Linked DNA regions of Xenopus tropicalis. The protein of the gene in region 6 interacts with the protein of the main gene of each other region in a pairwise test. Links are inferred from orthologs where the notes say so. Each region holds a gene or a part of one and is shown on either strand. Other genes may lie near its edges.

Region 1 (4,058 bases), on a different chromosome or scaffold from region 6:
ATTTGCTGGCTCTTTGTTAAGTCACTACAGAAGAGCCCAGGGGATAAGGTAAGTAGCGGATATTGAATCTAATCCTAATGGAGGCTTATGGATCAAGTAACTGGATACATGGCACTCACCAGACTGTGTCAGTCTCCAAAAACTTCAGAGCTGCCGTAATAAGCTGCTCCTTGTTTCTTAGCGTGGGGTTATCCAAGGCCGTGTTGCACAGTGTGGTCTGCAGGGAGAAGGCAATACAGTTAGCGGATGAATACAAGCTGGCAGAGGTGGGGGTTTAAGGGCATCCTTACCAGGTGCATGGTGTAGAACTTGATCACATCTCGCTGGCAGTCCCACTCTGTAGCTACAGCTACGGCCAAAGCCTCACTCGGAGCGGTAAATATTTTCCCCTGTGGCGTCCTGAGCTTCCGTCGATCCAGGTTAATTTCAAACCCCCCTGGAGGGAAGAGACAGTAGCTGCATTTACAAGCTAAAGGTTATAGATTTCAACCTTCTATTTACAAAAAGAAAGGGGTCAGAATAGGCATCTTATATGCGGCCGGACCCAAGGGCAAAATGCCCTTCTATTTAGACACAGGGGTGGCCAAACTGCACTTATCTGTTCATTGGGCCCAATGGCTGGCTGCATGGGAAGCAGGAAGGAAAGTGCAGCCACCGGGTCACTGCTTCTGACCAATATTGCTTATACCAATGCTGGTGTATGGAGGCAGGTCTGGACTGGTACTAGTATTTCCAGTACACAGAGGCCCCCCATCAGCCCAATAAATAGTGACTGTCTATGGCAGTGTTTTTCAACCTTTTTTGGGCAAAGGCACACTTGTTTCATGAAAAAAATCACGAGGCACACCACCATTAGAAAATGTTAAAAAATTTAACTCTGTGCCCAGCAGCAGTGCCCCCCTAGTACATTGGTGCCCAGCAGCAGTGCCCCCCTAGTACATTGGTGCCCAGCAGCAGTGCCCCCCTAGTACATTGGTGCCCAGCAGCAGTGCCCCCCTAGTACATTGGTGCCAAGAGCAGTGCCCCCCTAGTACATTGGTGCCAAGAGCAGTGCCCCCCTAGTACATTGGTGCCCTGCCTACGGCACACCAGGCAACATCTCGCGGCACACTAGTGTGCCGCGGAACAGTGGTTGAAAAACGCTGGTCTATGGCATCTCACAGCAGCCCCTCTGGCATTTGCCGGAACCCACAGATTGCCAGTCCGGGCCTGTATGGTGGTTGCTATAGTGCTATGTTTTAGGTAACTTAAAAAACTGTGAAATAAACACCAGCCTGGGATAAGGTTTGCCGAATGTGTCGCCATCTGCGTCAGTTGTAGGAGGGTACAAGCACCCGCACAGGGTGCTTTAAAGATACAGATAAAGCCACACGCGCAGCTCTGGAAAGGACTGTGTGAAACCTACCTTCTCCATGGGAAATACTGACATTTTCATAGAACTTCTTTCTTTCTGCAACATAAAAAAAAAATAATTGAATCAATAAATAATAGAGTAAGACATTGGACTGATGCCTCAGTACCAAATGCAGAATTCTACTGGGTTCATACCCACACTATCCAAGCAGTAATACATTTCCCCTCAGGGCAACTGCACTGCTAAAGGGCAGAGAATGGGTGCGGATGTGGCAGCTGGCCAAGGGGGCAGTAACACGGAGGGGGCAGTAACACGGAGGGGGCAGTAACACGGAGGGGGCAGTAACACGGAGGGGGCAGTAACACGGAGGGGGCAGTAACACGGAGGGGGCAGTAACACGGAGGGGGCAGTAACACGGAGGGGGCAGTAACACGGAGGGGGCAGTAACACGGAGGGGGCAGTAAGAGAGAAGGCACAAAAGTCCAGCATAAGTGGGGGCTCTGGAGAAGGACATTTGGAAGGAGCTACACTGAATTGGGGGAATAGGTAACATTAGAGCTAAAGGAATGGTATAGACTGGAGAGGTGGAATTTAAAAAAATGGGGGGGGGGGGATTATTGTTAGCTTTAAAAATGCCCCCTTTCTTCAGCAGGATTTCTACCCCCCACCAAGACACTTTCCCATTCAATCAGTTCTCATCCTTGTGTCGCCATGTGTCTGATGGGCCCCCATAATGCCATGCCCTAATGGTCTCTGCCAAAAGCTCAGTAGGAGGCAGGCAGCCAATCACAGCTCTCCGTTTATACTAGATCTGCTACTGTTCCCTGTAGGGCTGGAAGTGGAACCCATGGGCGGGACTAGTAGGGTTTAAATGAGCAGAAAATGGAATATTTAGGGGTATATTTATCATGCTGTGTAAAAAGTGGAGTGAAACATTACCAGTGATGTTGCCCTGGGGAACCAATCAGCAATTACATTTCAACAGTTAGAAAACCAAAGCATCTGATTGGCTGCTATAAACAACATCACCGGTGATGTTTTACTCCACTTTTTACACAGCATGATATATATATATCCCTTAATGACATATTGCTTTTATATTTACAGGAGTATAATGCACTGGCAAATCCCCTTTTCTCCCTTTCCACTCCCTGGTGCCACTTACCGGTAGCAGCGGCTGCATAGAGACGCGTCTGAGCGCAAAGTGCCGCCGGGAATACACGCAGCCTCCGGGCAGTGATCGCTAGCAGACTGGGCAGCATGGTATAGTAAGGGAGGGGTCAGTGGTTCTGCTCAGGACTCTCTCCCATCAGCACCTGCCGAGGGGCAAAGGATTATCAGTAGATATTTATTAGCGACCACCCCTCTGCCGCTGTGAAATGGTCTCTCCCCAAGGCTTCCCACAAGGCTCAGCGCTCATTACACCCAGAGAGAACACGCTGCCAGTCCCAGCCCCTATGTACAGAAAGCCTGCTCACCCGGGCGCAGCCATCTTGGTGACCCTGACTTGTTCTTTGTCGTCACGTCCGGCAAGCAGCCAATCCGAGCCCTTCTTGGTCTCCATTGGTCAGTTTTAGCTAGACTACATTTCCCGGCGGCGCCGAGTCACCGCTTTAGCCAATTGGGGGCGGTGCTGCGCGGTGGGCGGCCTTTCGTTCAGCCAATCGGACTGCGCGGTGCTGGAGAGGCCCAGGTGCTCGGGCCGGGAGTGGAGAAGTGGCCGAGCCCTAGTGTGGAGCCGCCTCAGCGGGAGAGGGGCTCGGCCCTGGATATGCCGGTCCGTACCGAGGCCAACAGCGCGGCCTCCGGATACTCCTCTCTTATTCCTCCTCCTCCCATCAACACCCAGCAGCCCGGCGTGGCCACCACCCTCCTCTACAGCGGCTCCAAGTTCCGGGGCCACCAGAAGAGCAAAGGCAACTCGTACGATGTGGAAGTTGTGCTTCAGGTGAGGCCCGGCGGGGCCGACTGCAGCCTGGCTAGTGTGTGTGTGTGTGTGTGTGTGTGTGTGTGGGCACAGGGGGGGGATGTGCGGCAGGGAATCCTGGGTAGAGGGGCTGGGGGGGGGGGGGGGTTGTTTAACAAGAGGTTTATTGGGGGAGAGCAGGTGAAGGGGCAAGAGAGGAGCAGGGATAGGGTAGAATGATGGGAATAGAGGGGCAATGGGAGTGGGGTAGGAAGGGTTATGGGAGGGACCCCTAGCCAGGGAAGGGTGGCCGGAGCAGGACATGTAGGCACTGGGGCCCTGGCTTGGGAGGTAGGGGGGTGAGTTATGGCAGGGAGGGAGGGAGGGGGTAGGAGAGTCATAGGGTTCTGCTGTGAATCATGTTGGGACTGAGAGCAGAGAAGCCAGGGCTGCTGGGTAAGTGAGCGCCAACAATAGTCTCCCCCTTGTACAGTGAGCGCCAACAATAGTCTCCCCCTTGTACAGTGAGCGCCAACAATAGTCTCCCCCTTGTACAGTGAGCGCCAACAATAGTCTCCCCCTTGTACAGTGAGCGCCAACAATAGTCTCCCCCTTGTACAGTGAGCGCCAACAATAGTCTCCCCCTTGTACAGTGAGCGCCAACAATAGTCTCCCCCTTGTACAGTGAGCGCCAACAATAGTCTCCCCCTTGTACAGTGAGCGCCAACAATAGTCTCCCCCTTGTACAGTGAGCGCCAGCAATAGTCTCCCCCTTGTACAGTGAGCGCCAGTAATAGT
Region 2 (3,500 bases), on a different chromosome or scaffold from region 6:
TAAAATACACTTCCCAAAAAGCCGCTGGAAAAGCTGTTCTGATCCTTCTCCCCCAACCCCCCAGAATCACTGGAATCCTTATGATTTAATTGCTCGGCTGCAGATAGAAGCCCAATAATAGGGAATTGATTGTTTTGCAGCTAGAAAAGCAATTTTCAAGTTGCTACACTGGTTTAAAACAGGGGAAGCATTTAATATTTTATCACACATAATGAAGCCGATCAGCGCCCGTGAAACAGAATTAGCGGTGCAGTGAGCGAGGAGTGAAAGAGCAATGTTAGTCTGGATCTTTATTGGGTTACACAAGATCAAGGCCCGGGGGAATTACCGAGCTGATCAGTAAGACACCGAGCTTCAGCTCTGCACTCCCAGGGGGACATTCAGCAGGGAGAAAAGAAGAACACAACAAGCAAACATGATCAATGGCGAGGCATTTGTGGTGCGCGGGAGGAAGGGAAAGAATAGGCGCATAATGTGTCCCCGTATCCCTCGAGTCCCTTACAAAACCTGCCTTGGCTGCTGAGCTGACACTGCCAGTAACTTGATAATTGATTCCAATATTGATTCATCTTTTGACAGAAACAGAAACCTTGGCTGGCCAAAGGCCACGCAGGCAGTTGTTAGTCTGTGCTGGATGGGCTAAGGGCTGAGCTGGATGGGCTGAGTGGCTCCAAGCCATTACTGGAACCTGCATGGGCCAGCATAGGGATAATGTTGCTATGAACATGGTGTCTAACTAATCGCACAACTGGCTGGTTTATTAACTGTCGTGCAATTACTGGTGTGTTGTATGTGGGGGAAAATGCTGGGTTGATGGAGTGGCCCCAATACCAAAGCCAGTAATGGAGGGTCTAACAACATAATTAACATTAATAATATCTTTAAAAAATACATGCTTGTACCTTAAAGCAGCCATTCCTGTGTCAAATGCTGCATAGCCACCTTTCTATTGTTCCCATTCATACCCATCTCATCTGGCCATGCATCATACACTGGCAGATATGGCACACTGGCAGCTACTGGCAATTGGGACTGGCAGGCTGGTACACAGGGTCAAACTGGCCTATTCATATACCAGGAAAAACTGCAGTGCCCTGCTAGCTTCCCCTAGCCAATACCACTGCCTGCTCCACTACTTTATTTGCTGTAAAAATTAAAGATGGCTGTGCATTCCACAGTGGAATGCACGCCCATCTTTCATTTTTATCAGCAAAATAGTGCAGTGGAGCAAGAACAGTGGTTACTGGGGGCATGTGGGGAATGGCGGTGACTGGGTGGTGGGCCCTTGAGCCGGGTACCCACACGTATCAATATTATCAGTATTGTATGGCCAGCTTTATATTTGGGACACTTCCTATCCCCTTACCAAGTCTTACCATGAAGCACAAGCAGCACAAATTGGCTTAAAAGAACAACCTGGAGGATGGTCTATTTCTGTCTCATGTAACAGTTAAGGTGGGCACTCATGGCAAGATCCGATTGTCTGCCAAGTTCAGCAAGCGAGTGGATTTTGCTTGATTTAACCACCGTTGTGCCACTAAAGAGACTGTCCTTATTTGTTTTCTAACCTGTATAATAGATATTTAAAAAGAATTGGTCAGGTAGACCATCATAAGGGGCCCATAGATAGGCTAATACGCTGCTGACTTGGTCTGCATAGTGCCCCAGCAACTGCCTACCTGAACAGGTTGTGATTCAAATTAAGCCCTGGTATTGCAAGTACACAGAGGCCCAAAGAGGCCCCCCAGCAGCCCAATAAACAGTGACTGTCTGTGGCTTCTTACAGCAGCCCCTCTGGCATTTGTCAGAACCCACAGATTGCCAGTCTGGGCCTGCTGCTGAATGAAAGGAGTTCATGCAGTGTTGGACTGGCCCACAGGGATACCAGGGAAACTCCTGGTGGGCCCAGGTGTCAGTAGGCCCTCTTGCCTCTTACCATTTGGTCTAATTTATGGTCATTCAATATTTCTCTATGGGAACAAAGAGACTAAAAATAAAGAAAAATAGATTATTGTATGTAAAGATAAAAGACTAGGAAAATATAAATGTTGAGTGAGGAGTGGATGAAAATTAGTTTGGAGAGTGGGCCCACAGTCTAAGGTTTCTGGTGGGCCCCTGGCATCCCAGTCCGACACTGAGTATCTGTATTAGGCTCCACCTTGTATAAAGCAGAGATGATGGTACTCTGCAGCCAGTGTCTAAGAACAGACAATGTACTATTTGAGCTGGCAGAAGCAGCCTGTACAGACAGATACACCAGAGCCAAAGGGCTTGCCCCGCGCGCTCCCATTCTAGCACTCGGCTAATAGTGTATGCACACCATCTGGCGCCTGGCTCTGCCCGAGCTGGTGCTTTGGAGCCTTAAACTCTCCTTCGCACCCTGAATTGTATCACTGTACGTACATGTGCTCTTTAGCACTGCCAGAGGGAGGTGGACAGACACTAATTGTACCGACAGGAAACACATCTGTCAGCTTACACTAATTCCTCCCACCAGCAGGCAAACGCCGAGCCGTGTGCTACAGGAGCGTGAAATACACAAACGGCAGCGGCAGCTTCCTATTGGCAGGATTATGCCCAGAGTCTGTGTGCCGGCCCGCGGAATACTGCAGCCGCTGTATGGGGACATTCCACATCTGGGCCGCAAATCACTGCTGCTAATCTAAATGCTGCATCAATAGGGTTACTAGAGATTCTGGAATAAGTATAAAGTAAATAAGTGTTTGCTATATATATATATATATATATATATATATATATATATATATATATATATATATATATAGCCATATAGATCTAGATTGTAAGTTCTACGGGGCAGGGACCTCCATCCTTATTGTGTCTTTTTGACTCAACTTATTGCAACTGTACCTTGTATTTATTGTTATACTTTGTATTTATCTATTATTATCTTAATAACCCCCTGTTTGTATTAATGTATTCTACTGTACAGCACTGCGTACATAAGTAGCGCTTTATAAATAAAGATATACATACATATACTGAGCGCTTACCTTCTCCGAGTAGTGTTCTTTGGGCAGAGGGGGGTAGTCGCACTGCTCAATCTTCTGACACAGGGAAAACAAGCTCATTTTGTCTCCATAGAAAGGACTCTGTAAAGCTGCCATCTGCAAAGAATGCAAATATATCAATGTTCTTAGCATCAGTTAAATATAATGGGTAGGGATACTGACTTGTCCCCTTGAACCAAACACAAACACTCTATGGTCTGGGATTCAAGAGGAGCATATCATATGAGCAAACCTACAAGAGAACTGGGGTGTTCAAATATGAAGTGGTTTTACTGGGCAAGGATATTGACATCAGTGGATCACTTGCCAAATGAACCACAGCCAATGCTTCCCGAATGTTGATTGTGAGCTCCTAGCCAATAAAGCAGACTGAAAAGACTTTGTGCCAAAGGCTAAGGAGGTATGATTGCTCCTGGTGTAGTAACCTATGGCAACAAATCTGTTGGTCGCCATGGGTTACTAGACCTG
Region 3 (4,111 bases), on a different chromosome or scaffold from region 6:
GCTGGGGCCCCCCTGTATGTGCCCGGCCAATGGGCCTCCTCTTCCCTGGTTGGGCCCTAATACCCACGGGGCCCCGGTACCGAGGGTCAGTAAGTACCAGTTGGGCCGGTCAGTACCGCGCTGCCGCACACACGCTGATGTACAGAAGCTCAGGCACAACAGGGTGGGGCAATAAAGCAAAAGCCCCGGGGGGGGGGGGGTAGTTGTGTCAGGTACAAACAGAAGCTGAGTGGAATCAATTAGACTCACCTGCTCCCAAACCCACGGGGGGGGGGGGGGGGGGTAAATAATAACCCCTATTGGTACTGAGGGTATTGGGGGCCCAGTGGGGCGCTGAGAAACACCTCAATACCCCGACTTATCCCCAACTTCTAGGGGCCCCTGTCTGTCTGTCTCTCTGTGTCTGTCCCTGTCTGTCTCTCTATGTCTGTCCCTGTCTGTCTGTCTCTCTGTGTCTGTCCCTGTCTGTCTCTCTATGTCTGTCCCTGTCTGTCTGTCTCTCTGTGTCTGTCCCTGTCTGTCTCTCTATGTCTGTCCCTGTCTCTCTGTGTCTGTCCCTGTCTGTCTCTCTATGTCTGTCCCTGTCTGTCTGTCTCTCTGTGTCTGTCCCTGTCTGTCTCTCTATGTCTGTCCCTGTCTGTCTGTCTCTCTGTGTCTGTCCCTGTCTGTCTCTCTATGTCTGTCCCTGTGAGACTGTCTCTCTGTGTCTGTCCCTGTCTGTCTCTCTATGTCTGTCCCTGTGAGACTGTCTCTCTGTGTCTGTCCCTGTCTGTCCCTGACAAGTCTGTCTCTCTGTGTCTGTCCCTGTGAGACTGTCTCTCTGTGTCTGTCCCTGTCTGTCTCTCTATGTCTGTCCCTGTGAGACTGTCTCTCTGTGTCTGTCCCTGTCTGTCTCTCTATGTCTGTCCCTGTGAGACTGTCTCTCTGTGTCTGTCCCTGTCTGTCCCTGACAAGTCTGTCTCTCTGTGTCTGTCCCTGTGAGACTGTCTCTCTGTGTCTGTCCCTGTCTGTCTCTCTATGTCTGTCCCTGTGAGACTGTCTCTCTGTGTCTGTCCCTGTGAGACTGTCTCTCTGTGTCTGTCCATGTCTGTCTCTCTATGTCTGTCCCTGACAAGTCTGTCTCTCTGTGTCTGTCCCTGTGAGACTGTCTCTGTGTCTGTCCCTGTGAGACTGTCCCTGTCAGACTGTCTCTGTGAGACTGTTGTTCTGTGTGTTTAGTGGAAACACAGCTCAATACAGCAGATTGATTGGCGGTTGGGGCAGGATTGGGTTGGGGGGGGGGCAGGATTGGGTTGGTTGGGGGGGGGGGGGGCCCTGCTGCCAATCAGCCGCTCAGACAATCCAATTGTTCTCTGTTTACAGTAAAGTTTGGAGCAGAGAATAAATCAGCTCTGGGGCAGAACCAGCGCCCGGACTCACCGGCTCCAGCGAGAGAGAGAGGGACCTCCTGCCCCACAGCACCCAGGGGCCCCGGGGCCACTCACAGGTCAGACACCGACTGGCACCTAGTGGGCACAGCAGCCTGAGTGGGAGGGCAGGCTGAGTGTGAGTGCAGGGAGGGCAGCCTGAGTGTGAGTGCAGAGGAGAGAGGGCAGGCTGAGTGAGTGCAGGCTGAGTGTGAGTGCAGGGAGGGCAGGCTGAGTGTGAGTGCAGGGAGGGCAGGCTGAGTGTGAGTAGAGAGGAAAGAGGGCAGGCTGAGTGTGAGTAGAGAGGAAAGAGGGCAGGCTGAGTGTGAGTGCAGGAAGGGCAGGGTGAGTGTGAGTAGAGAGGAAAGAGGGCAGGCTGAGTGTGAGTGCAGAGGAAAGAGGGCAGGCTGAGTGTGAGTAAAGAGGGCAGGCTGAGTGTGAGTAGAGAGGAAAGAGGGCAGGCTGAGTGTGAGTAGAGAGGAAAGAGGGCAGGCTGAGTGTGAGTAGAGAGGAAAGAGAGCAGGCTGAGTGTGAGTGTGAGTGGAGAGGAAAGAGGGCAGGCTGAGTGTGAGTAAAGAGGGCAGGCTGAGTGTGAGTAAAGAGGGCAGGCTGAGTGTGAGTAAAGAGGGCAGGCTGAGTGTGAGTAGAGAGGAAAGAGGGCAGGCTGAGTGTGAGTAAAGAGGGCAGGCTGAGTGTGAGTAGAGAGGAAAGAGGGCAGGCTGAGTGTGAGTGTGAGTGCAGACAGCACTAAGTGGCCCCCAGGCTGCAGGGCGGTATAAGGGGGACAAGCTAATAGAAGACTCATTACAGACAGGGCTGAGTCACATGACTGAATGGAAGCAGAGAGGCTCATGGGTACCAAGGGAAGTGAGTGATAACTTGGGGTGTCAGTGTTGTACGGGGGGGGGTTTATCCAATAGGGGGTGGGGGGTACCGCAGGGGTGTGGCTTATGGATTTATTGGGGCTGCTGTATTTGCAGACTGGGGACACAGTCACATTTGGGGGCTCACCGGGGAAGATGAAGGGAGTAACGGCTGAGGATGTGCATCACTTCCTGCTCCACACGGTAACACTTCCCCCCCATCTCTATCTGCCCCCTGTATCTGCCCCACATCAGCTTCACTGGCACCGCCCCCTGCTGGTCACTTGTCTCACAGCTTGTGGCCCTTCCTGCCCATTGGATCAGATATTGATTCCCTGAATACTGTGCCCCAATGGCGTGTAGCCTCAATGGGGCCCCTGGAATTACACCCAACTTGCCTGCAGGGCCCCCTAGTGGCCACACAGGGAGTGGCATCCAATTCATCAAAACAGGCTAAAGGGGGGGGCACTTACACCCCAAGTATGTGTGGGGGCCCCTCAGTGCACTTCTGTTACTAAATGGCCCTTTATGGCTCTCTTATTATTTAGGGCCCCAGTCGGGGCTTTATTGCCCGATCCTGCTGTATTGCCCCATACTTGCCAGCAGGGGGTGGTAGTTAGTAGGCAGAAAGCCTGGAGCAACCTTACTCCCCCCCTCCCATTACCATGGGAAACTGCCCCAGGAGCCAAGTTCTCAGCCCCATGCTGGGGGGGAGTGGGGGAGCATGGTACCCCAATATTGGAGACCCCCCATAACCCTTTAACCTTTCCCTCTGCTTAATGCACTGATTTGGGCCCAGAGCTGCAGGAAGGGGCAATAAATGGACAGAACTAGGGCTGAAAGGAGGGGGCAGGGGTAGTTCCTTATTTACCCCCCCTAAACCCAAGAGATAGATTAAAGGGAAAGTTCAGCTTAGATGAAGTTGCCTCTGGTTCCTTACTTGCCCCACTCTGCCTGCCTCCAACTGCGCCCCCTGCAGGAGCACCCCTAGTTCCCAGGCCCCATGCTGTGCTTAATAGCCCCCTGCTTGGTGCCCCCCTAACCCCGCTGCTTGCCCCGGCAGGAGCACCCCTAGTTCCCAGGCCCCATGCTGTGCTTAATAGCCCCCTGCTTGGTGCCCCCCTAACCCCGCTGCTTGCCCCGGCAGGAGCACCCCTAGTTCCCAGGCCCCATGCTGTGCTTAATAGCCCCCTGCTTGGTGCCCCCCTAACCCCGCCGCTTGCCCCTGGCAGGAGCACCCCTAGTTCCCAGGCCCCATGCTGTGCTTAATAGCCCCCAGCTTGGTGCCCCCCTAACCCCGCCGCTTGCCCCCGGCAGGAGCACCCCTAGTTCCCAGGCCCCATGCTGTGCTTAATAGCCCCCTGCTTGGTGCCCCCCTAACCCCGCTGCTTGCCCCGGCAGGAGCACCCCTAGTTCCTGGGCCCCATGCTGTGCTTAATAGCCCCCTGCTTGGTGCCCCCCTCACCCCGCTGCTTGCCCCGGCAGGAGCACCCCTAGTTCCTGGGCCCCATGCTGTGCTTAATAGCCCCATGCTTGGTGCCCCCCTAACCCCGCTGCTTGCCCCGGCAGGAGCACCCCTAGTTCCCAGGCCCCATGCTGTGCTTAATAGCCCCCTGCTTGGTGCCCCCCTAACCCCGCTGCTTGCCCCGGCAGGAGCACCCCTAGTTCCTGGGCCCCATGCTGTGCTTAATAGCCCCCTGCTTGGTGCCCAACTCACCCCGCTGCTTGCCCCGGCAGGAGCACCCCTAGTTCCTGGGCCCCATGCTGTGCTTAATAGCCCCCTGCTTGGTGCCCCCCTAACCCCGCTGCTTGCCCCGGCAGGAGCACCCCTAGTTCCTGGGC
Region 4 (4,178 bases), on a different chromosome or scaffold from region 6:
CCTGGATGTGCTTATGGCATGGCTCAGCTCCGCTAATAGGAATAAGCTTTATGTCCTGTGCATACAGCAGTCCCATTGCAGCTTAACAAAGGCAGAGTTTTTCAAGTAGGACAATAATTATTAGCCTTAATATCGCCTCCGTTCCTGAACCCCGATGGAAATGGTAGAGTAGGAATTACAAGCCACACACACGATTCCAGCCCCTGATCGCATACAAATTAATGTAATAAAATATACATGATATTCCTGGCTGACTGTCTGGCCCTGCCTGGCGGATTGTAAGGGTTCAGTCCCCCCTGTGTTAACTCTGGTGTCTCTTTTTCTGCTCAGTCTCTAAATCATTTGCATGGGAATGAAATATGAAAGTGAATTAAAAAGTTAATATTTAATAAAGCGAACACGACTACTGATCAGCATTGCTGCCTGTGTGTATGAGTGTGTGAGGGGTGGATTCCAGAAAATATCATTTATTTATCCCTATTAGTATTAATAATAATAATAAAATAATAATAATAAAAAAAAATTCTCACTACTGAAGTGATATTCCGCTCCATATTACTATTATCTGGAAATAAAACAGGCACTTTTTAAAGCTGGATTCTGATCAATCACCCTGAAATAATAGGCAGTATATCACATTGGGGGGTACACTGGCCTTTCCCTTTGACCCTCAGCACAACAATCTTTGCTAAAATCGCCTGCGATCTCCCCAATTCCTTTGGTTGGACCGTTGCGTAAACGTTTACGCGCAATTCTTCACAGCGTTTTGTCAGCCTGCACGGATATTAAATCCACAAGCTGCAAATCCCACTCTCTCCATCCAAGGCTTTTATTGTGGAGTTTGTTCTGGATCCGTGCCCAGTTTAGTGGAATATGGTTTTTAAAGTGCAGTTTAACTCCCATGCATAATACCCTCATTTATCAAGGTAAAATGCTTTTAAACCGATCATTACATCTGCAATTGCTTAATATTAAGTGGGAAATATAAAAAGGTACTAGGTGCCATAAACACATCCACCTCGTAAGAGTGGTGATTTTGCAAATGGGATCGGTTGCCTTTATGAATCATTTTCACCTGTGCCGACCAGATAAATGGCTGTACAATCGTCCAAACAGATCGCACGGCGGAATTGCACTAATACAAGAGGTGATCATTTTGCATTTACAAACTATTTTATGCTGCCTGCCAGATACTTTGCTGTAGGGCATATATATTATGAATTATGTACCTTTAATACGGTATATTAAATATTGGAAGCTCTTTTTTTCCCGTCTTCTTCCAGTGGTTAAATATATAAATCGCCGGCGATATTAATATAATATTTTCGTAAGGCTGTGAAATATAATGGCTGGGGCAGGCTTGTTGTAAATCCCCGATCTTATGGGTAATTTGGTAAGAAAATTTAGATTCTGGGAACGTTTCTGCTACAAATATTAACTGTGCCTGGATATTCCCCCCTCCTGTATATTTTACAGATTGTGGTTCCTTGTGCTGCTAAGTTATCCGTGTTATTATCGTCGGGGATTTGTAATATTTAGCCAAGGATTTTCCTAGCTGAATATTTCGTGTAGATATAAATATAAGTATTTCACCTCTGCCAATAACATGGGGCCTTATGGTTTAAAATATAAATCCTGTGGCTGATTTGTCGGTAATGTATAAACACTGGGGCTGATTTGAGTCTAGTAATATTGCAATAAAGTCGCACTGCTCTGGCTGAAATGTATATATATAATTGGGGGGAGTTTTATTCGATATAAGGAAAGTGTTAGTTTACCGTGTGGCCTGTTTAATTGGGGGGATATGGTGTAAATACAGGGGTTGCCTTGGGGGGTATATCTTGGGGCTAATTCCAAATATTATGGCTGATTTGGATCCAAGTTATTGTGGCTGAGGGTGGAAATATTGTGGCTGAACTTTGTTTGAGATATAAATATTGAGGAGGGATTTGATTACAAATATAAATGTTCCTGGCTACTGTGATGGATACTGTGGCTTGTTTAACTACCTGTGCGGCTGGGTGACTACAAGGTGGAAAGATTTCAGGCTATTGCCGGTGCCTGGGGGGCTCTCCCCTGTGTTTGCCCTGCTGGCCAGGAGCACATACACTTCCTGACGGTATATTGCCCTTTTATTGCCCCCTTAGGCTTTTGTCTCCCACTTCCTCGGTGCAGAACTTACTTTGATGTGTCCTGTCTTTGTCCCCGCTTCCTTCACACAGTTTATTGTCCGGGAAAGTGGCCCTTTCATTGGCATCTTCTCTTGCAGCAGGCGAGCCCAGATTGTACTGTTGGGCTCCCAGTTTGTCCAGCTCCCCCGGGGGCCCCAGCAGCGGCTCAGACTTCACAGTTCCTTGGCCAGGTCCATTCTCTGCTCTTTGCAGCGGCTCCAGCCAGCCCCGTAAGTACCTGCCCTCCGGAGTGGGGGCGCCCTGCTGGATGTAGGGGTGGTAGACAGAAGGCAGGGGGCTGGCTGGGTGGGGGTTCAGAGGGCTCCAGGACGCGCTGAATACAGGAGCTTTGGGCTGGAAACTACAGGAGGGAAAGTCCAAGGGCTCAGAGTGAGCTGAATGGGCTGCTGGCCGGGGGCTGGGGTACTGTCCAGAGAATTTGGCTGCTGGAGCCTCCTCACTCTCAGGGCTTATTATTGACTCCACAAAATAATTACTGAGAGTCCCAGAAATGGCCATTCTCGGGCATCCTACTCAGCAGCTTCATTGAAGGGAACAAGATATAGGAGCTCTCCCCTCTCCCAACTTGCTCGCCAACTCGGTGCACTTGGGCTGCTGGCGTGTGAGCTCCTGGCAAATGATTGGTCAAACTTTCTCCGTGTGCCTGATAAAGCGTCAGAGGGCTATTCATCAATCGGAGGGGCCGCACGGAGCTGTCAGCATTCATATCTGGGAGCCATTGTTTTATGGGCATGAGGGCTGGGACACGCCTGAGATCCGACCAACAACGCACTCCTCAGCCAACAATTTGAAACTTGGGTGACACCTATTTCTGTGCAGGCTCTGGTGCCTTTTAGTGAAGCCACAAGACAATCTGGCACAGGGGGGTCTGGGTGCAACAGCTTGGGAGGGCGCAGCAGTCTCTCATTCAGCTGTGCGCAATTGGCCGTGTGCGCAAATCAGTGCGCAATTTAGCAGAACGGTGCCTCTCGCTGCCATAGCATGGCGGCTGCGTACAGTCTGGCTTGTACAGTACGGATTATAAACAGTATATTTATAGTTAGTGGCCCCTTTCCCTACACTGACTATATGCAAAATAACAGACACCAATTAGGTGGATATTGGATGTGGATATTTTATGCCCCCTGTATCTGGAATTGTGTTTCTATTCATATGAATACACCGTATTTCCCAGGCAATGTCCCCATATAATGGCAGATATTGCAAAATGTATATGGTGCCAATCATTTCCTAGGAGGCACTGCTGATTGATACCTTACACTAATTTTATTTAACTGCCCTTCCCCTACCCAGTAACACTATTTACTCACATTGTGCCAAAGTGCTAGTGTCCCTATGACCCTGGTTTATTTCTCTGCACTAGTATGAAATGGTAACCACAAATTGTCACCAGTTACAGACCATTGTACAGTGCCCAGCCCTGCAGCATGTATATGTATGTTCTGCACTACTAGCACTATGTCTGCTTGTTTATTTTAACTTTATACAATTGCCTGTACCCTGTGCAGCACTGATTTAAAGTGGTGGCTGAGGCCTACAGACTGGCCCATAATATAATCAGATATATAAGTAGTAATTTGCCATATTTATATCCTACACTGCACTACTGACACTATGATCCCATTTGCTTTCTGTATAACTACTTATGCCCTGCCTCTCATCCAATAAATATATTTTTACAGTCACATATTATGCCAAATGCCTACAGCTTATATACTGCCAGGTGTTGCCATTCTGTACTGCGCTACTGACACTGTGACCCCACTATATCATTTCTCTCTGCCAAAGATACAAATATAAGATGGTGCCTACACACTGTCCCATATTGTGACCAAATATTTATAACTCACAGGCATTTTATATGGTGCAGCTTTATCCAAGATAAGTGACTCTGTGACCCCATGGTTACTTTCCATTTATATAACAGCTTACCAACCATAACATGGGGCAAACATTTTGTCCATAATTACAAGCTTATATTGTATT
Region 5 (4,191 bases), on a different chromosome or scaffold from region 6:
TGCTTTTTTGCTCCATATTTTGGAGCTTTCTAGAGACCAAGTTTCTGGATAATAGATTCCAAAGGTAAGCATACAGCATGACTTAAGTGGCCATACACGTTAAGATCTTTCTCCCAGGGGGATATCAGGCTAATTTGATTGGTTGGCCCTATCAAATTACAATAACGGGTATAGGAGCCGTTGGTGCAAGGACTGCATTAATGAGCCAATGCGGTTCCCGATCTGATGGGAAAATCAAGCCTGCCCAATTGAATCCTGGCCAATTTTTCCCCAATTTTTCATGGTAGTCAAGGTTTTTAGATTTTTTGAACGCTCTATTTATTAAAAAACACCAAAAAATGTGTTTTTCGCATTTTTCTGTGTTTTTTGTTTGTGCTTTTTCAATTTGGATCTTTTAATAAATGACTAGACATTTGTAGTTTTAGTGGAAATTAGTTTATTTGTGTTTACAAAAAACTCAAAAGCCATAGATCTATCATCCATCTACCTGAAAAGCCCACAGTGCCAGCAGGGAGCATGGCACTAGCTGCAAAAGAAATGCTGTAAGGAGAAAGCAGGTCAGCACTCAGGTCTTATGAAGAACAAAATGGCACTTTATTTCAAGGAAACTAATGTTTTGGCTAGTGAGCTAGCTCCTTAAATAAAGTGCCATTTTGTTCTTCTTAAGACCTGTGAGTGCAGATATGTATATATGAGGATATGTTCCTCTATGGTTCATGAACATTATCAGAAAGTATAGTAGGTGATACCTTTTATTGGTTAATTTGGTAGGTAATAATAACATTGGTTATCATACCTGAAGCAGGGACCTAAGTTGTCCAGAAAGCTCACATTTCATAATCCACTAAATTAGCCAATACGAGGTATGACCTACTCTATATTTTCTGGTTTTGATTTATGGCTAACATGGTAGAACACTCTGCTACTATGGGTATAAACATTCTTTGAGCACAGCTGACAGTATTATCTATAAAGAACATAAGGTATTGCCCACAGCAGCAGTGCTGTCATCTCTGTGTGCAGCTGGCTGCCTGTTTTATGGAGTAGTTAAGAAGAATCCTCTTTATGATCCTGCTGGCTATATGTGATGTGCCCAGGCGTGCAGGCCAGGCGCACCTTCATTACGTCACTACAGGATTTGTTTAATCAGTAGTTATAGGAAAGGAATGTGATATCTCCAGGAGGCGAGAGCAGGTTGTGGGTGGTGAAAAAAGTACAGCCGTTAATTCCATAATTTATTTGGGTGCACTGGGGCAGGAAGTTTTAACACAGTATGAGATACCATGGAATAATACATGCTTTCCATGCTGGGATTCATATCCTTTCTCTGCGACTTACTAGGAGCTATATTTGCATTGCACAACATTTTAATCATAACATGTTAAATATCCATTTTGTCCTCTGACCCATTTACTGTAGAAATCCCTCCTTTATCTTCTCACTCCAGTCCTTTACAATCATTCCCGGATTTCACTCTTACTCATACTATGAAAATGCAGCTCCTTCCACTAAACTCATTCTTCTCCAATTCATTTCCTTTCCTTTTGTAGCTCAGAGTCTTTTTGCACTCTTTCTCTTTAAAATTTCTCCTTTGTCTCTCTCTTATGCACTCCCTCATTCTCTCTCTCCCTCACTCTCTTTCTTCCCCGCTAATGAAATGAATCTCTAAAGCTGCTTTGATTTAACAAGTCTCTGCAAAGCAGTCATGTGGGGAAGAAGAACAGTGAAAGAAAAACTGTAAGAGGGAGAAAAGGAGGGAGGAGAGTGCATGGAAATCATGAGTGAGCAAGGAGCCGCGTGTATACCTTGCAACACCCTAAGGGTTAGTCACCCTGGGAACACCCATGGGGGTGGGAAAAAGAGCAAGAAGGAGAATCTGGACTCACTGTCCCAGGCCGGAGCAAGGCAAGGTATGTACAACATAAAAGCTTAGACTTCTTTTGGATAAAAGAAAGCTTCTTTAGTTATTCTTAAGATTGTACATTCCTTTGAATGCCAGGTGATAAGCAGCAAATGCCCAGGAAAAGACACTTAAAGAAATACTTTTATAGTACTGAGGCTGTTTATATATTATATATATATATATATATACCAAGGATGAGTGAAAATAATTGCTGATAGGGAGCATAAAAATAGTTAATATACACTGGCATGTTTCACTTACGAAGTGGCAGATGTAAGTTGCAGGCTTCTGACATAAATAGTAGAAACAGATATACACTAAAAGCAATGTTGTCTGCAAAGCTTGCACTCTGTATAAATCTCATTTACACTACAGAACTTGCAGTATTGACATCATAAAGAGGGAAACTGAACCAGAGTTCCCAATTTTTAAGCTGTTTTATAAGTTTATATTCACTTCATTTTTAAATAAATATTTATTTACAATGAGATGTTTCTCTACATAACAGGGCTCATTTACTAATCACATGGGCACAATGTGTGGAATTTCAGTGCAATCTGCAATCTGCGCCTTGTACCAGACTAAAAGTCCTGGGCATGATGCAGAACGCTCCTGGTCCCTGATGGCTCTCCCTAGTTAGCCTGTCATTCAGATGCACAAGCTAAGCAATATCAAAGGAGATGCCCACCACTTGTCCCCTTATGAATTCAGTGCTGCTAAATTTAGGCAGCTTTGTACTCGGAGAAGTGAACACAGGATCTCAAGAGCTGTACCTTTGGGCACAATCCAAATTGGAAAGAACCAAAACATGGAACTTCCACATTTACATTTTGCATCTTGCCTTGTGTATAGGAAATGAGGACTAAGGACTCTATATGAGTCATTACAAATGCAGGTAAGGTGCTTTCAAGCTTGCTCCTTGCACTCGCATATAGTTGCATTAAGCGACATTAGGGCTCATTTTTGTTTGTGCAGTGGGCAACTTGTGCTTTTCTCTGCCATCAGTTAAACCTAAAACCACTTTTATTAAAGGTATTTGCATCAAGTAACTTCTCTATAGTTCCTTCAGTCCTTCCTGCCTTCCATTCAGAAACAGGCTGTGCTGCACTTGTTGATACAGGGGAACCCTGACCAGGGGGTAGCTCCAGGGTTCCCTCAGTCAGGGGCGCTGCTACCAGCAGCTATGGCAAGTGCCCCCATAGTTACCAGGGGCAGCAAAAAGTTGCTCCTAGTAACTTTAAGAGCCAAATTTCTATTTTTTTAAAACGGAAATTCGGCTCTTCTAGTGTAGAGAGCGCAATTGCACTCCCCCCCTGGACCCCCTTCAGTGCTGTAAAGCTAAGTGATGGGGGGCGGCATCGGAGGGGCCGCCTCAGGGGCCGAAAATGTCCCTGCCCTCAGCGCCCTGTATAAATAGGCGCAGCACACTTGCACCTAAAGTACTGGTCACTGGAAATGATGCCGGGCAGACTTAGAAAATATTTGCCACAACAACAACCGATTTGCAATGAAGTGCATGCATCTTATTGAATCGCTATAGCAACTGTGGTGGGCACAGCCCAATTGTGTCAAAAGAACAGCCAGTTTGTGCCTGCAATGATGCCAGAATTATGCCAAAAAAAAGCATTGTGGGAAAAACATGGTAATTGTACTTGATATTGCACTTTGTACACTGCATCTAAGTAAGTGAATGTGCTCTTTTGTGTCCACCCTGCCTCTCTTACTGAATTATGCACATTTGTAGTGGTAAATCTAGTGGGGTGCATTGGTTGGGGTAGAAGAATTGCTCCAAAAAATCACACAATAATTCTGTTTTAACCCCATGTCCCAGAAGTGCCAGAATCTCTGCTTTGAAAATGCTAGCATCTGATTTGCTAACATGCACATGTGCAGTTTTGATTAATTGGGTACAATTGTGCTAGAGCACTGCATTTAGAAATTACTCTGCTATCGGTCATTCAGAAACAGCACTCTCTATTGGGCAAATTATTAAGTACTACTAAGATACTGGAGAAAACAAAGCAATAAGGAAATACTTATGCTAGGTCTTAAAGTTATACTGACACCAGAAATTAACCTTTTTTATACATCTATCATAATATTGTCTTTGCATGCTATTTATAATTTTGCCTTAAAAGTATTTGCCTGATGTTTTTACATTACCTATCTGATGCCCCTCGTTCTTCTATGAGAGGGAGGCCATATTTGTGCAGCAGGGGTCCGTTAGCATTAGAAGTTGTAACTGACTGGATGAGAAGAGACAGTCAGGTTGGCAAAACAGTCAAGTT
Region 6 (3,500 bases):
AGGAATACTGAAAAGTACTGAACAGACTTAACATAATGGCACCTTTGTGCTCCATGACAGTACCTCAAATTCTGTTACACGCCATGACAAGGGAGCAGGTTTTTATGCAAACACATACATAAGTGCTGTACATAGTATCATACATTTCTTATTCAATGACACAAGTTCCTTTGGTCCATATAGTATAACTTGTGAGCAGGTATACAGTATATATATATATATATACATATGGCTCCTTAATACTATACTTTGTATGAGTGTTCAAGATCTGCCAATTAGAAATCTCGTTGCATGTAGTGTTAATGTGCAGTCCATAAACCTATGGTTCCCTGTCAAAACACTGAGTATGGTTTATCCACTGTAAGTCTGAGTGACAATGAAGAAGAGCTTGTGTGAGTGTTTAGTAGCTGTGTTTTGGCAAAGCCATTGGCTGGAATGTTGTCGGCGTGTATAAAGGCATTTGTGGTAGCTCTGCATATTCACTGGCTTCAGATTTCTGTAGCTGTGATTTCCTCAAACTGGATTTCGGCCCCGTGCAAGTCAAACTCGTCCAGTTCTCTTGCCTCCAGTTCTAAGGAGAGCTGCTTAATGTCCCTCTCCAGCTCGCGGTTCTGCTGGTACATCTGGATATAGTTATGCTGCAGCTGTTTTTGATAACGGATCACCTTCTCTTTTTCCTCTTGCCATATTCGCCGCTCATCTTCAAAGCTGTCAGCTTGCTCCTGATATCTCCTGCGTTCGCTTGTTAGGGCTTCCCTGAGACGCTCCACATACTGCTGCAAGCCCTGCAGGTTGTCTGCGTTCTGCCGCTGCGCTTTGGCCTCGTCACTTTCATATAATAAGAAAGGGTCCTCCTTTTCATGGCAAAGGCATAGTCCATGGCGCAGGTTGGCTACTGCTGCTTCCCTTAGGCCGGCTACTTCCTGGTCTAACTTGCTGGCTTTCTCCCGCAACAACTCTGCCTCATTCTTTTTGCGTTGGAGTTCATTCTCGCACACCTCCAGCTCCAGTGTCTTGGTGTGCGCCGTGTCCTGCAGCTCCTGTACCTGCTCTTCACTGATCTGGAGGTCGGATCGAGCCTCTCGCACCTGAGCCCGAAGCAGCAGTATCTCATTAGATTTCTGTGCCAGCTCAGCCTGGGAGTCCTTCAACTGTTGCTTCAGCAATGATATTTCACCAGATTTCTGGCAAACCTACGAGAATTACATAGGAACTGTTAATAGCTGCAAAGTTGGGAAAAGTTTTAGTAGCCTGTTATCAACCAAAGCAGCATCTTCTAATCACCAGTGAAAGCAATCTGATTGGTTACTCTCGGTATCGGAACCTGCTGCAAATGTCCAACGTTCTACTTTAATACTCTGGTGCTGTTTTATTATTGAGCTCTGTCTCCCTAAAACGTGTTCATGCCAGACACAACTGACTAGAACTGTGGGTCCTGGATTGAGCAGTTGGTTGCACTAGGAATGCTAATATAATGTATAACAGGGGTGTTATTACTACACAGTTGCTGTGTAAGCAATGGGGGCAGCCATTCAGATACAGGATACACAGCAGATAACAGTAGTATAATTAAAGTGTATACTACAGAGCCTGTTGGTTATCTCCTTTTCTCCATATAAACTATAGTAGGGTTTCAAACACACCACTGTTACGAGTGCAGGGCAAAACTACATTATATTTTCATTACAAAAACGTATTTTTTAGTGTTACTGTGTCAGTGCTTACAGTGAATGAATGTTACTGTATTAATGCCTCTGGCACTGGGTGCTTTTTTAAGGTAATCCATTCACTAGAAACATCAATTAGGCTATAATTTCCTAAAATGTGGTTCAGACTAGTCCTAAGGGGACCAAAAGCAGTGGATAAATACGGAGAGAAACCGCTTGAATGCTAATTATGATGGACACTATATGTTCACAGAAATACATTAAGGTGAATGATAGGACAGAGTCCTTTATATTTATACATTACAGGTATGAGATCTCTTATCCAGAAACCAACCCAATATCCAGAAAGCCCTGAATTACAGAAAAGCCGTCCCCCATACAGTCCAATGTAAACATTTATTCACATTTCATGGTAACTAAGCTGCATGGGTCCATATTGGTGGCAAAACAATCCTATTGGGTTAATTTCATGGTTTTAGAAGACTCAAGGTATGTTGATCTAAATTTCAATAAAACCCCTTATCCGGAAACCCCAGGTTCTGAGCACTCCAGCTAATAGATACCATATCTAGAAGTATAAAAATGTAAAAAACCAAAAGAGTTACTTTGCCACCAATATATATTTTTATGGTAGCTTAGTTACCATCATTCCTATTACAGAGGAAAAAATGGAACCATTAGGATATATATGCATATTTCCCTTAAACTGCTCCATGGAACATTGGAAGATGGCAGTACTGTTTAGGTCCTTTCTGGATAATGGGTTTCTGGATATTAGATCTCATTCATTTTATATTAAATTAGATCTCATATTCATATTGTATTTATGTATAAATAAGATAAACAGCCTTAAATAGACGTGTGCACAGTGAAACAGGCCTTCTTTTAACCTTGAAATATGCCATTCAGCTCTCCCTCCCCATGATATTTTCTTTGATATCGATGTGTCTTTTATATGACAAGACTGATTATCAAGCAGCTATTTAGGTCCATGCATTTGCGCTCCTTAGAGGCCATAACAAGTGGAAGTGCCAGTAAAGAGCTTTGGGGTTTTGCAATAAAACAAAGAATGAAATGGCAGTAATTGCATTGGTTTGTGGGAAACGCATAAGTAAAAGAGTTCTACAGATTCAATTCTATAAAATTTAGTTTACTGAATTTCCTGCTAAAGGAAATCTCTGCTCTTTGGAAACACATATAGTTGTAAATAAGGCAGCCTGACCTATATATAGAACATGTTGCTGATGGGACTATGCAGACAATAAGGATTCTCCAGATGTAGGTTAGGGTGACATTATGTCCAAAATACCATCAGAAAGAAAGTAGTTTTAGCTTTTCCCCAGAATAAACTTTACTAACAACTCAAGTAAGAAAATGCTTAAACAAATCATTAGGCGCCTTATCACTATTAGCCATAGGTTGAATGCCTCTAACTGCAATTAAATGAAAGATGGCTGGGTAATTTGGTAACTGGGCCCAGCTTTTGTACCTGCAGCAGATACAGCAGATGAGTAGCTAAGTTCTGATGAGACTTAAGCTTTACTGCCCGACAGCTCCACCCAAAGGTCAGCAAGAGAGACTACCGGGTTTAACACCTCGGGAATCGCCCGATGCACTTTCAGCGGGCAGCACGTGGTGGCAGGACTATTGCGTCATTCCTTGTTGATTTGTGTGCAAAGCACTATACCTGGGAACATCTGCCCTGATGACTACAAAAAAAGCTGCAGATGAACTTTCCTCTGATGGTGCAAGCAACATTGTAGTAGTGTAGTTTCCCTTTAAAAATAACTGGCCCGTGAGAGAACTATGTTATACAGAACAGAGAGTCCACAT
Region 7 (4,227 bases), on a different chromosome or scaffold from region 6:
TTTTTTATGTTAATTTGTATCACCTTTCTATTCATCTTCCAGTCTCGCATTCATACCACTGCCTGGTTGCTATGGTTAACTGAACTCTAGCAACCCAATAGCTGCTGGAATTTCAAACATCAAAGTTAATTTATAGGTGAACAACCTATTAAAATTGACATTTAGAGGCCTACACAGCTCAATATCTATATATTTACATAAAGGAAATCTAATAATTGGATTTTCACTTTGTTGTGTTGCAGTGAACATAACTTTTTCTTTGATTTGCATATAGAAACTGAGAAAACAAACCTAGAAAGAGACTGTTAGGGCCTCTTAGGGCTCCCCACAGAACTTGACATTCAGGGCCCCGTCACAAAACAATTAGATGCAGAGAGAGGGCTGAATGTTATAAAATAAATAAATGAAACAATAACGGGCGGCTGGGGCAGGCCTATCCAACTGCGAATTATGATGATGGCTAATGTTACCTTTTTTTAACAATTATTTAATTCTCCTAATATTAATCAAAGCCTTTTATTGCCATGAAAATTTTGAGTACTGCCTTAGTATGAAATACAACGTTAACAATTAACCAGTAAAGAAAGTCACTGACAGAGAGCCAATTTCTCAATGTCCTTGAAAGTAAATGTGGGTAAAGACGGTCTGATTAAATTTGCACCCAAAAGACATTTCATTGCAGTTTTTACATAATGAAAATGGTATTTCTTTTTTTTTTTTTTTTACAATAGCTGCGTGCTGCACTTAAGCTGCATGCATGTGAAACTGTTTTTAAGCAACTGCACTGGCTATGCCATTATAATCCAACCCTGAATAGCAAGGCAGTGGAACAAAAATGCCAGTAGCCAGATATATCTAAAACAAATCTATGGTTTACTATGAAAAATAAAGCCTGTTAGTTTACATTAATGTTGATTTGGAAGTCTGTACTGATTTTATATTCACCAAATATTGCTATTATAACCACGTGTAAATAGGTTCAAAACTTTTCAGCTGGATAATATTTCAGAGATTCCACATCCAATTATGACTAATAATTAACCTAATGTATCTAAAGAACATGGATGTCAAATTCAAGGACATTCTTTTTCTACTCATCTGGATGTCACGTCAGAAAATGAACAGTGGCAAATCAATAGGGATGCACCGAATCCAGAATTTGCTTTGGGATTCAGGCTTTTTCAGCAGGATTCGGCTGAATCCATTGTCCTGGCTGGACAGAATCCTTAAAATGATGCGTCTTTTCACCAAATAAATGCGGAAATTGGAAGGTTTTTTTCCGCATACTGCACGCCCAGTTTTTTTTTTTAAGCTTCCCTGCCTTAGTTTGCACATGCAAATTAGAATTCGGATTCAGTACAGCATTCAGCCAAATCCCAAAATAGTGGATTTGGTGCATCCCTACAAATTAATCAATAATGTGAGCATCTGTTAAGGTGCAGGATTCTTTTAGTCATCAAAGATGACTAGTGTTTTTGGGGGCTGCACATTTAATGACCGTTATTTATTCCAGAGCAAAAAAATAAAACACAAAAAAAGTAAGTATAAACAATGATATTGGAAACAGAACATTAAACAGCATGGCAGGAAACTGTATGTACATGTACTTGATCCTGGGAGAGGAACCAGCATGTGCGCTGCAGGAACATCTTAACATAAAGAAAAGTGAAACTGTAATGCTACAGTCGCAAAGGGTAGGGTGTTCAGTTATACAGCCAAAAGTCCAATTATCCCTCACTCTTGGCCAACAAGAACTAATCCACTGATGAGCGGTTCTAACAAATTTTCTCTGAAACAAAAGTCTAGTCTCTCTAGGTGAATCATAACATTGGTCACTCTGAGAGTCATCTTTGTGATTCACTCCAGAACTCCTCCACTTTAGTTCATACTGGCCGCATCAGAGTTTGATCTTAAACGCAGTTGGCTGAACAACTGCCGAAGAGCCCGAAGATTTAAACAAGGCTTTGAGGATGGTGTCAGGGTCCACTTCAGCAGGTGGGTTGGATGCACTGGATGAAGATAATGTGTTTGATCTTCGAGTCTCCCCTTCTTTTTTTGTTGCAGATGGTGTGTCGCTGAGTCGCCTAAGGGAAAAATGGCATTAAGAAAAATAATGAAATAGACCGGCGCCATTCATAGAACCCTGAGGATATATTTGTTTCACATTCCTGAAAGCTCACTCTGAATTCTTTTAATAACTCTGTAAATACTCTGTATATTTGCTAGTGAGAGTGCCTTGTAGTAACATTTGTACAGACCCTGGAACAATTCTTAAACTTTAACTGAAGCCACTAGGAACTACATCAAAGTAGAGTCACTAGGAACTACATTAAAGTAGGGTCACTAGGAATTACATCAAAGGGGGTGCCACTGGTAGGCGATCACTGCTGTAGAGCAACCTTTGGGCACATTATTGCAGGCAGATTCGCCTGGAGATGTGGTTGTTGGACTTTTTCAGTTCAGACACCCCTTGAAGGTACAAACCTTTGGTAAGGACTACTTGTAACTTCTGGGGGGCTGAACCCACCCAGAAGGATTTGGCCGAATCCTAATTAGCATATGCTGAGGGATCGGAGGATTTTTTTTTCACTGCCCATTTAACCCTTACCAAATTGTAATTAGCATATAGGATTCAGTTCGGCAAGGACCGCAGATTCCGCCGAAACGGAATCCTTAAAAAAAAGCCGTGATTCAGTGCATCCCTACTTATAATGCATACCAAGGTAAAAGGTCTAGAGCAATGTTGGTGTTCCCATAATTTGGATCACTATACCTTATGGAGGGGACAATTATCACCAATACCGTGCATCAGATTAGCATTAAAGGCAAACAAGATTACTGATAAATCACCCTCTCGGTGAAATTATACTTACAGTAAGATAGGTTGGTCTGATGTTATGACACTGCCATTCAGATGAAGATTACACTTCATGGGTTGCCCTAAAATGAAAAGACATTTATTAGCTCAGGGAAAAAAAAGAAAGCTCAGTGCTCTTACCAGAAAAATATTACAGCAGTGTGTCATGAAAAGGTAGCTGGGTGGGGGAAAATGAAAATTAACTATGCTCCTTAAAGCCTTCTTCCAACTACACTCAGCTAATATACCTTTTTACAGAAGCTGGTAGGTTTGTGCACTTCTGAAGCACACTGTCCCGGCAATTCTGTAAAAAGTGTTATTGTCTATTAAGGCAGGCAATATGGGTGCAGGCAGAAATAAATAAGTGTTCAGTCTGTAAATCTTGACCTTTATAATAGTTACCTTATATAGCTGATCAATTTCTAATAGTATTACTTATTAATTTTAAATACTTATAAAACCTAGGGCTGCTACAATCTCTACATTATCTCTGTGTATGTACAATAAAATCAACTAGTAATGAGAGAGTGCCCTGTTTTAGCATATACAAAAAATATCAGTATAAATGTAAAACCATAAATAAGCATTCTTTATTTGGAAATAAGAATCTCCAAGTTCCTATTAAAAATACCGGTTGCTCGATGCAGCTATAGCCCATATACTAATAACCGAATTAATTTGTTAATAAATACATAAAAGAATAAATAGTGTATATAAAAAAAAAGAAGTGAAGAATAAGATATGCCAACCAAGGGCTCAATTTCACTAGTTTTCACCATATATTAATACCTTAGCAACTTTAAAAATTAAACTTATGAATAAATATCATGTATTAATGCATGAACTGTTACAATAACTTAGCAACCACTCCTTATGAATACATAACACCTGTGTTCACTACATTTTATTAATAACTTAGCAAATTTAGCATTTAAATGCATAAAAAATATCCCTTATTAATGCATTTACTATTACATTTAATTAGCAACCAATATCTACGTATACAAAACAACCGTCCTATAATGTGCACAATATTAACCCATTTCAAATGGCCAATCGGATATAGAGAAACTGGAGTAATAACCAGGTTATTTTCTTGCGTCTGTGGATTATTTCCTCACAATCCATAAGCATATAAAGGTGTGGATTAAGTTATATACCATACAAAAGGTCGCTCTCTCAGGAGCAGGACAGGGCATCTTAACAAATATGGGCTAGGCTGGGAGAACATTGAAGCTAATTAACGCAGGTACGTAATTAAGTGCAGTCACTTTCTCACTAATTAACTCACATCTTATTTAGATATAAGCTTTCAGAACTAACACACAAAATATATCTAATAGGTTATGTTTTCAGTATACATTATTTTA

Evidence for each region.
Region 1: the proteins of lzts2 (region 6) and atpaf2 interact in binary tests that used the Homo sapiens proteins (3 or more experiments, as listed by UniProt). The two-hybrid records come from large-scale screens. The link is inferred for Xenopus tropicalis from reciprocal best matches to the Homo sapiens genes LZTS2 and ATPAF2.
Region 2: the proteins of lzts2 (region 6) and nek6 interact in binary tests that used the Homo sapiens proteins (3 or more experiments, as listed by UniProt). The two-hybrid records come from large-scale screens. The link is inferred for Xenopus tropicalis from reciprocal best matches to the Homo sapiens genes LZTS2 and NEK6.
Region 3: the proteins of lzts2 (region 6) and mab21l3 interact in binary tests that used the Homo sapiens proteins (3 or more experiments, as listed by UniProt). The two-hybrid records come from large-scale screens. The link is inferred for Xenopus tropicalis from reciprocal best matches to the Homo sapiens genes LZTS2 and MAB21L3.
Region 4: the proteins of lzts2 (region 6) and hoxb9 interact in binary tests that used the Homo sapiens proteins (3 or more experiments, as listed by UniProt). The two-hybrid records come from large-scale screens. The link is inferred for Xenopus tropicalis from reciprocal best matches to the Homo sapiens genes LZTS2 and HOXB9.
Region 5: the proteins of lzts2 (region 6) and rin1 interact in binary tests that used the Homo sapiens proteins (3 or more experiments, as listed by UniProt). The two-hybrid records come from large-scale screens. The link is inferred for Xenopus tropicalis from reciprocal best matches to the Homo sapiens genes LZTS2 and RIN1.
Region 7: the proteins of lzts2 (region 6) and poldip3 interact in a two-hybrid assay, tested with the Homo sapiens proteins (2 studies listed by BioGRID). The two-hybrid records come from large-scale screens. The link is inferred for Xenopus tropicalis from reciprocal best matches to the Homo sapiens genes LZTS2 and POLDIP3.

Annotation. Positions count from the first base shown.
Region 1 is NC_030685.2:15,293,304-15,297,361, reverse strand, and holds the start of atpaf2 (ATP synthase mitochondrial F1 complex assembly factor 2 precursor), read right to left. Parts: upstream 2,801-4,058; 5' UTR 2,617-2,800; coding exon 2,520-2,616; intron 1,451-2,519; coding exon 1,406-1,450; intron 437-1,405; coding exon 291-436; intron 218-290; coding exon 120-217; intron 1-119. Other genes in the region: gid4 (glucose-induced degradation protein 4 homolog), read left to right, coding at 3,126-3,302. UniProt on the Homo sapiens protein: Plays a role in the assembly of the F1 component of the mitochondrial ATP synthase (ATPase).
Region 2 is NC_030684.2:29,167,123-29,170,622, forward strand, and holds part of nek6 (serine/threonine-protein kinase Nek6), read right to left. Parts: intron 3,129-3,500; coding exon 3,015-3,128; intron 1-3,014. UniProt on the Homo sapiens protein: Protein kinase which plays an important role in mitotic cell cycle progression. Required for chromosome segregation at metaphase-anaphase transition, robust mitotic spindle formation and cytokinesis.
Region 3 is NC_030678.2:1,122,862-1,126,972, reverse strand, and holds the start of mab21l3 (protein mab-21-like 3), read left to right. Parts: upstream 1-1,311; 5' UTR 1,312-1,486; intron 1,487-2,386; 5' UTR 2,387-2,425; coding exon 2,426-2,473; intron 2,474-4,111.
Region 4 is NC_030686.2:12,098,380-12,102,557, forward strand, and holds the start of hoxb9 (homeobox protein Hox-B9), read right to left. Parts: upstream 2,801-4,178; 5' UTR 2,691-2,800; coding exon 2,183-2,690; intron 1-2,182. UniProt on the Homo sapiens protein: Sequence-specific transcription factor which is part of a developmental regulatory system that provides cells with specific positional identities on the anterior-posterior axis.
Region 5 is NC_030680.2:38,263,206-38,267,396, forward strand, and holds the start of rin1 (ras and Rab interactor 1), read left to right. Parts: upstream 1-1,391; 5' UTR 1,392-1,768; coding exon 1,769-1,910; intron 1,911-4,191. UniProt on the Homo sapiens protein: Ras effector protein, which may serve as an inhibitory modulator of neuronal plasticity in aversive memory formation. Can affect Ras signaling at different levels. First, by competing with RAF1 protein for binding to activated Ras.
Region 6 is NC_030683.2:29,793,038-29,796,537, reverse strand, and holds part of lzts2 (leucine zipper putative tumor suppressor 2 homolog), read right to left. Parts: intron 1,194-3,500; coding exon 489-1,193; 3' UTR 1-488. UniProt on the Homo sapiens protein: Negative regulator of katanin-mediated microtubule severing and release from the centrosome. Required for central spindle formation and the completion of cytokinesis.
Region 7 is NC_030680.2:115,098,187-115,102,413, forward strand, and holds the end of poldip3 (polymerase delta-interacting protein 3), read right to left. Parts: intron 2,941-4,227; coding exon 2,874-2,940; intron 2,085-2,873; coding exon 1,898-2,084; 3' UTR 501-1,897; downstream 1-500. UniProt on the Homo sapiens protein: Is involved in regulation of translation. Is preferentially associated with CBC-bound spliced mRNA-protein complexes during the pioneer round of mRNA translation. Contributes to enhanced translational efficiency of spliced over nonspliced mRNAs.